Linked DNA regions of Coturnix japonica. The protein of the gene in region 1 purifies or fractionates together with the protein of each later gene. This does not show direct contact. Links are inferred from orthologs where the notes say so. Each region holds a gene or a part of one and is shown in the gene's direction. Other genes may lie near its edges.

Region 1 (4,384 bases):
AGAACAGTTGAAACTGGGACTTTTGGGAGGTAATAATGATTACATTTCATGTTAGCAAACAATGTAATGTACAGCACAGCTAACTCTTATTTTTAATATTTGGGAAGTAGCTTTGAATGTCTTAGGCTGAAGAAATGCCAAATGTACCACTTCTTTATTTTTATTTCTGGAGAAAAGGGATTAAGAGACATCGAAGAAAAGAACCTGTATTTATATGAATAAGAGCTGTGAGGCAACTTGGTGTTACTTAAAGCAGATTCAGATGTCTGTAAACACAAGTTAGCAAACCTTATCTGAAGCTTTTAGTGAGCTTTCTGTACAGTCAGTATCTCTGTGAAAATCCTCGTGTGGTAAAGCTGTAAATTTGCAGCATGAATCTTCCAGTGTATGTTTTTTTTCCACTTATGTGTTAGCTTCAAGGGGAGAGACTGCACAAGCACAGTAGCTCACAGTGTGGTACTTAGCATGGACTTCACTTTGCAGCGTGAGTAGGAACCAAGATACTGGGAATTAATTGGAGGGACTTCCATTCCAGGGAAGCATTGAACTTCTACACTGTTGAAAGTTGGGTTCTCTTAGCCTTACACCTGAGAGTTCCTTACACCTGGGTTCTCTTACACCTTCCAATGTAAAAAGTCAATCTACTTTTAAAGAGCAGCTAATAACTTCAACACTGTTATTTCATATGAAGTGAAACTGCTTGCATCCAGCTATAAATTTAAGTGCTTGACACTCATGTGACTCGTTAAGACATTGGAATTTAATTGGTAGTAAACTTTGAAGTTACTTCAAGCAAGAAAAGCCTTCTCTGTACAGTTCCTTAATTTCATATACAATATCAAGCAAAATAGTGTTACGTAGGGAAGGGCATTTCTGCTGCTCAGAAGAGCACTGTGTTGTGCTCCAAGCAGAACTTTTTATAGATAACGTCACAGAAAATATACTTTTTCTATTCACACATCTAACTGTTGCCACTGAGATAAATATCCTTAATGACTGTAAGTCCATTGTTTAATTTTCTCCTAAGTGCCATGATATTAAGTTATTTTTTATCGTGGAGCCTAATAGCAGCTTTTGTAAGTATTCAGAAGGGATGTGGCGTGTAAACAGTTGTGTAGGCTTTGAATTTTGAAGGTGTATTTGTGTGGAGCTGACCCTTTGTATGCCAGATTCTTAGGGGTGCTCTGCTCGTTCATATCGTCTCTGCTACTTTCTTGTTTCGTATGGAATATGGTCTTGAACATTGTTGTGTAATCATTCTCTTTATTTGTGCACAATTTTTACCTTAAATAAAACATTTATATTAGAATGCCGTGTATTCATCCGAAAAGAAACAAAGCCGACTCCTACAAAGCACTACTGGGATTTGTTTGGGACCTTCAGACGGACCGTTAGGCATCCAGGGAGGGAGTGCAACAACAACCTCCACCAGAAAACATTGAAAGGCAATTGCAGCATGTTGGGTATCATTCAGTTGGAGCTCCTGTGCTGTCACTGCAGCTGTAGAGCAGTTCGCATCCATCGCATTTACTTTGCACAGCTCCATTTGTTTCTTTCATACTCTCTCTCAGGTCTCAACTGAGGGCAGGGGCACTTACCTCATCCCCCATTGCAGATGCAGTATTTTAATCTATCTATATTTGAAGATCTGTGTATTTGTATTTTAAAAGCCGTTTCCTCTTGCAGCCTGGCTTGCTATTAACAGGATGTATCAGCAGTCCTAGACGAGCGCTACAGATGGTTGCATATCTTAAATGCTTGACCTCCCCCCACGCACGCTTCTTGTTTCTGTTCAATTCGGTGGCCAACTGCTCTCTGCTCAGTCTGAGCAATTGTTTGTGTTAAAGATGCTCTATAAAAGAAGTTAGGACCATCTATATGTCCTTGGAAAATGCTAAACATACATCCTGACTTCAGCAGTGACATAGTAAGCAAGAAACGTATCTGAGTTACATTTTAAGACAGCCCTAAATGTTCATTTTGTAGGTTTCCAAGTGATGTGACTGTTTGGAACAGAAATAAAAGCAGGATCCTTCTGCTGTTGCAGTTTGTTACACCTTACAAGGATCCACAACTGAAGGGCTCAGCTGCGGTTCTGCTGCTACGAGTGATGCAGGCTGCGTCTGGCGAAAGGATCCAGAAAGCAGTAGGGGAAATGTAAGTAAGGGAAAATGCACTTCCTATAGCAGTAATAGCTGTTATGATAAATGCTCCCTAAGGAAGGGCTGAGTCAATCTGTAGTGATTTACAATAAAAACAGAGCGACCAAATGAGGATGGAAGAGGCCAAATAGTGGGGTATTAAAGGGAAGAAAATTAATTTCTCCAATGATTTTATTCTTCCCTGTGATTAAATGCTGGTTTCAGTTTTGGGGAAGCATTTATCTTCCCTTTGGCCTACACGGGGTGGAAGGGATTTATGCCTTCCCTTTTCTATTTCCTCAGGCCATGAGAAGTTGTGTCTTCTATATGCAATATATGAAATGCCTCCTTTAAGTAGGGCCAGAAAGCAGCCTTAATTCCAGGTAACTTGGAGGTTACAGAGTTAAGGTTTCCCTTCAATGCCCTTTTGTTCAATGGAGAAGCCCCATGTTTGCCGGAGGGTCCTGTAACATGGCAGCAGTAGAACCACCATCCCATTATAGCCGTGCTTTGCACTGAATATAAAGATTGAGGTCATGCTCTAGTTCAGATTTACGATTCCTTCATCTCTACCTCGATTCTTTAATAATAGAAAGGTCGAACGCTTTTCTCTAAGCTCTAAAAAATAAGTAGAACTGTTATTGTCTTTATGATCACAACGTTATGGTTAAAAGCTGAGGCACGGCTGTTTATACAGTTATTCTAAGCCCTATTTTCCTCTCTATACCGTCAGCGAGTTATTGTTTGAGCCATATGAAGCACCGGGGGTCGCTCAGGTGCCCCTGAACACCTGAGCACGATAAAATGCGAACACCAAAGGCACAGCCTGCTAACGGAGGCCCCGATGTGCCCTTTGAGTAGCTACGTGTGGTTATATCGCTCTGTATCGCATTTTACCGTCCTTTCTTGCATCTCATCGCCATTTATTGTGCTCAGCGGCGGGGGAAGGGCGGCCGCTCCCGCCGCTGCCCCAGACAGTGGGCGGAGCTGCGGCGCCGGCTGCTGAGGGCGGCGGGGGGTGCGCGCCGCCGCCGGGTTCGTGCCCGCGCGCCGCCGCCGTCTCCGCCGCCGTCTCCGTGTGTGTCCGCCGCCGCCGCCGCCGCCGCCGTCTCCGCAGTGAGGTCACGGGTGGGCGGTGCGAGAGCGGAGCCTGTTCCGCTCCCGGGGATCCGGAGCCTCCGCGGCACCGAGTGAGGAGAGACGGGGTGAGGGGGAGAGAGAGGGGAGACAGCGCCCGAGGGAGGGGATGGCGGCGGCAGGGGGAGGGGAGCGCCGGGCACGGGGGGGGGGAAGGGAGCGGCGGGGAGTGAGGGAACGAGGGAGAGACGGAGAGAAGGAGCCGGGAGGGGGTGGGAGGAGCGGGGGGAGCGCTGCCCGCAGCCGCACAGCCCCGAGGTGAGTCACGGAGCGGCGTCCCGCGCCCTTCCGGGAACGGCTGCGGGGGGGGCGGCGGGACGGGGCGGGCGGGGCTTCGCGTGGCGCTCCCCGGGGGCACATGCCCTGCACCCCATATACCCTGCGCCCCATATACCCTGCACCCCATATACCCTGCACCCCATATACCCTGCAAACCATACCCCCTGCTCCCCATACCCTGCGCCCCATATACCCGGCACCCCATATACCCTGCTCCCCATACCCTGCACCCCATATACCCTGCACCCCATATACCCTGCACCCCATACCCGGCACCCCATACCCTGCTCCAAATACCCTGCTCCCCATACCCTGCACCCCATACTCAGCTCCCCATACCCTGCTCCCCATACCCTGCTCCCCATACCCGGCTCCCCATACCCGGCACCCCATACCCTGCACCCCATACCCCCTGCTCCCCATACCCTGCTCCCTGTACCCTGCTCCCCATACCCTGCACCCCATACCCCCTGCTCCCCATACCCTGCTCCCTGTACCCTGCACGCCATACCCTGCTCCCCATACCCCAATCTCGTGGCTTGCTGTGACCCCGTTCGCTGTTCGCAGGCTGCGCGGACTGACAGCAGGAATCCAGCCTGCAGACTCGGGCTGAGGGTGGGAGAATTGAGACACGCCGCGCTGACATCTGTGCCAAAGGTGACTCCGTGGGGACGCCCGGCGCTCGGCTCGGGTTGGTCTGCGAGCTGCTGAAATCACGGAGTTGGCAGCGCAATAAAGCAGGCCCCAAAGATCGGCTCCATCTCCAGGAACTGAAAGTGCCGGGCGGGATTTCCGTGTGGCTCCAGGTACGGTTGGGATCCTACGGA
Region 2 (4,447 bases), on another chromosome or scaffold:
TGCACATATTTAGTCTACTACATGCTGCTGTGACTGAGAAGATTGTGTGGAAGCAGCACTGCAACCACTGATGTAAGAATCAAAGCTCTTATTGAAGGATATGCTAGAGCTTCAATACAATGAGTTTAAGAAATCTGGGAACACTTCACAGTGCTTCTCCATGGACTCACAGTCACTTTCACCACACATTATTCCCTGTCTTGAGCTTGCTGGCTGATCCTTTTGTACCCAAACTGTTTGGATCTCTCTCTTTTGTTATTTTCCATAGAACAGATAATTCTGACACACTGCTAAGAATGAACTCAAAGCACAAACTATCTGCCCTGTCTCCAAGGCCCTGCCTTCCTGGCAATGCACTTGGTGCTTGTCTTCATCATCACGGTGATATCTGATAGTGTCCAGTCATTTAGAAATCCCAGGTGTCTTTCAACTTATCTGATATCGCTTTTTTTTTCCTTTTATCTCTTCGGGGATTTGCTCACAGCCTTTGGGAAGTCAACACACAGCGCAGCCAATCACCATTTCATCATGTTGTCTTTAGATCACAGGTTACTCCCTTTGTTCTTTCCAGCCCGACAGGTGAAACAGTGGCTGGGAAATAACCATGAGAACGTCATTCTGGAAGGTGTTGATCCCTGGGAGAACCCCCAGAGCCCTTCCTTGAGATGCTGATGCTCTTCTCACTGCAGGTTCATACACCAACGGGACTGCCATCCACCTGTACCACATTGATGTGCTGAGCAGCACTGCATTGACTTACCATCTAGCAACACCCAGCTTCAACACAAGGTAACAGAGGAGGCACAGAACCTGAGGGTGAAGGTATGTGGATGGATGGAAGAGCTTTCTAGGGCAGCTGAAGTTATAGATGACAATATAGACACCTTACCTGGCTCCTCCATAGCCACCATGCTTCTCAGGCAGCTTCAGGGCCCTGATGCCGTCTGCTTCTTTTGCTTTTTCCCCTCCTAAAGAAACGAGGCTTGTTTTACCTATTCCAACCCAAATGAACAGGGTTATTTTACCTATTCCAACCCAAATGAATAGGGATGCTATGAGGAGAAGGCATCTGCAAAGTGGCTAAAGGATGTTAGGGATCAACCATGGGGAAGGCTCTGAGGAGACTCTGGGGCTGAGGGGTACTGAGGGTCTCTGGGGGGGCTTTGGCTGGGGTCTAATGGGGTCCTGGAGGGGCTCTGAAGGGACGGGCCCTCACCCCCCATTACCCCCATCCAACTGAACGCCTCACCCCATTAACACCACAGACACAGCTGTACGCATGCGCACTACGCGACACACAAACTCTGCCCCTTCTCAGGCTCAACCGCCCCCAGCCGTCGCGCCGGTCGGAGAGTGACAGCTGGATTAGCCAATGAGAAGCGCTGCTTTTGGTGAGCCCGCCCACCCGGCTCCAGCGCTCCTCTCCTTTTTCTTTTTTTTTTCCCTAGCCGTCATCCCATTGGCTGCACAACCCGCCAATCATCTGCGTAGGATGCGCAAAGCCAATGTCATCTCTTCATTTTTTAATTGACAAGCGAATCAACCAATAGAAATCCTCCCCTCCCACCTCCGTTGGCAGTGACCAACGAGCACGGGGAAGGCGGGCTCACAGTGCGCAGCGCTGAGGAGGGAGGAGGAGGTGTCGGCGGAGCTCCGGGACGGGAGGTCGGTGTGGGACCCATAGATAGACTGGGCCGGCTCTGAGGGGCAGCGGGAGGCAAGGGGAAAGGCAGGAGGGCCGGGGGGGGTGAAGGGAGGTGGGGCGGGCCTGCTACCGGCTGGGTAGGCCATGGGGCCTCCTCACCCTTTGTTGTGGTGGGGACGCGGCCGAGCTCGGGGGGGGGGAGGAGAATGGGGGGATCCAATAGTGGGTCCGGGCGGTACCACACGAACCGGACCGGGGCCTCAATGCAGATAGGGGCTGTACACACAGATCCATTTAACGTCACACCCCCCATAGCTAATGCACTGCGCTGTGATGGAGCAGCTGGTCCTCGCTGTGTTGTTTGTGTGTTGTTTTCTTATTGGAGGGGCCTCAGTGCAGGATTTAACCATGGGGAGGTAAGGGAACAAAAGGTGGGGGAGAAGCTCTTGTGATATCCGACAGGGTTCAGTAGGATGCAGCTCAGTTTTGTGTCTTGTTGGTGGGACGTCGTAATCTTAAAGAAGCCATGTGTGTTCTGCCTTTAAATCCCTTCATGTTGAATGGGTGGTTTTAGGGAAAAGTTCTTTTTGCTGCATCCACTGCAGAAAAAAAAATAAAAAAATCTGAAAATTCTTCTTGTGGTCACGGATGAGCAACTTCCATCTGCATCCATAAGTTAGTAATGACACCGTATGAGGAGCCCACTAACAGCGGGTTGGTCTGTCTATAAGTGTTCCACTCGTAGCCTTGAGAGCTGCCGCTTTCAGGTTGATTCATGGCATCATGGAGTCTGTGGTCAGGCTGATCAGTCTTTTATCTGTCCTCCAGACTGGAAGAACCTCCTGTTGTTAAGTCGAAAGGTGTCTCTAACGGAACGCAGTTGCTGTTTAGACTCTAGGAAGTGTTATCACAGTGTGGGAGCTGTGGTTGCGTACATGAGTAGCTTTATTGTTTGTTCTGAGGGGTGGCTTTGAAACTTCAGTGTTCACAAGCTCCAGTGAATTACAGGGGAATGAGAATATCAATAAAGGCTTGAAGTTTACATTTCCTTCTCCCTGCCTGGCTCCATTTGCTTAGCACTGTCTTGGTGAAAGACAGCACTGGTTATCAGTGCCTCTAAAAGAGGAGTGGGGGAGGATTGCAGTAAGAGTGGCTCAAACTTCGGATCACTTTTAACAGTAACTTGGGGGTGTTTAATAACTGATCTGTAATTGCGTGGTTCAGGATTTGGCAGTCACCCTTAGAAACAAGGGGCATGAGCAAAATCACAGTGTATCAATTGTATCACAGTGTATCTCTAAATGAAAGGCCCTGCTGGGAGCTCCTCCACCTTCCTGCTCCACTTGATCTTTTAGAAGCGTTGAGCGCTGGTTGATGTAATTGAGTTTATTGGAGCTCAGAAATCTCCGCTGCGGAGCGCAGATTTAAGAGACAAAACTTGTCTCCATCTGTCTAATCTCTTTCCCACAAACGTTCTGGCAGAACAGGCTTGGTGTAGTGCGTTTTGGCTAACAAAGAATATGATTCTGGTGGAGACCGAAGAAAACTCCCAAATTTTCTTTCTGTAAGAGCAGCACACAGAGTTTTAATTATTATAAAAAGTATCCTAGATTTTTCAAATGTACTCAACTCTGCCTTAACGACTGTGCATGTAAATGCCTTGTAATTGAAAGCAGCCATTTATGGGCCTGACTTGCTAAGTGAGCTGTAAATTCTGCTTTTCAGATTGGATTTAATGACTTTTATCATAAAGCCACAAACTGGTTGTGAGCTGTGCCGAGAGGCAAACAATACCTAAGCTTACTTTGCCAAAATATTTGTAATTGTGGATTTGTTAAACTGAATTGCTGCAGGTCATGCGATGGGATTAGTTTTTTGTAATGGAATGGAGAGTGCAGGCAGCGTTGTGCTCAGTTACTCTCTGGGCTAGAAGAAATTGGAGATGGCAGAAAATCTTGCTAAACGTTGCTTTCAACTTCCTGCAGTGCTGCTGGATTACAGAAAGGAAGACTTCGTTCCAGATGACTTTTTGTTGTGATTAAGTGTGTTTGACAGCCAGAGTGCGAAGGGAGACCAAGAAGAGACTGTGAGAGAGCAGCTCCTGGTTTGCTGTCGGTGTAGTCTGGGGCTTGAGCTTGATTTAATTAAGCCGGAGGAAGATGAGCTTAATGGAAGACACTCTTCAAGCTCTGCTGGTGGTGGAGGAAGGAGAGTTTAACGAAGTTGGGAAACTGTAAAGTTATGCAGATAGGAGCTGAAACAGGCCCCCAAGTACCTGCTAATCAGTTCTGGGACTGCTCCTTTCAGATTTACCCAGGAGCATTTCCTTTCTAACCTAATGGAACTGACTCTTGCCTGTTACCCATGGAAAGTTTTAATCAAAACAAATTAGGTGAGAAGAGCTTAAACTGCTGTGGTTTGGAATGCTCATTTGGTGCTTTTGTGGCTCTGCTGAGGTCTTTCAGTATTAAGGAGCAATGCTCTTGAGTTCATAAATACTAAGTATGTGGGAAAAGCGTGCTGCTTTGCCGACAGGTGAATTGGCTGCCTGCAGCCATGGTACCTTTTTCTGGCTTCCAAGAGAATTGCTAAGATATATTGCTCTTATAATTATTCCAATCAGAGGTCAGTAAAATTAACATCTTTGCTTCTTTCTCATATTTCTGGTTGCATGCAATTTAGTGTCACAGGGTGATGTGTTGCTTTCAATCTGTTAATTTTCTTATAACAATAATTTTATTAATTTGTCTGTAGTTTTCAGTACTACTTAGTAACTGGAGAAAAATTAAACTTCTGAAGTTG

Evidence for each region.
Region 2: the proteins of SKIL (region 1) and SMAD2 purify together in Homo sapiens (affinity purification with western blotting; 8 studies listed by BioGRID and IntAct, with this or other methods). This does not show direct contact. The link is inferred for Coturnix japonica from reciprocal best matches to the Homo sapiens genes SKIL and SMAD2.

What each region holds. Positions count from the first base shown.
Region 1 is NC_029524.1:17,520,745-17,525,128, reverse strand, and holds the start of SKIL (ski-like protein), read left to right. Parts: upstream 1-1,416; 5' UTR 1,417-2,157; intron 2,158-3,174; exon of another isoform or gene 3,175-3,346; intron 3,347-4,124; 5' UTR 4,125-4,384. UniProt on the Homo sapiens protein: May have regulatory role in cell division or differentiation in response to extracellular signals.
Region 2 is NC_029547.1:1,312,702-1,317,148, forward strand, and holds the start of SMAD2 (mothers against decapentaplegic homolog 2), read left to right. Parts: upstream 1-1,582; 5' UTR 1,583-1,665; intron 1,666-4,447. UniProt on the Homo sapiens protein: Receptor-regulated SMAD (R-SMAD) that is an intracellular signal transducer and transcriptional modulator activated by TGF-beta (transforming growth factor) and activin type 1 receptor kinases.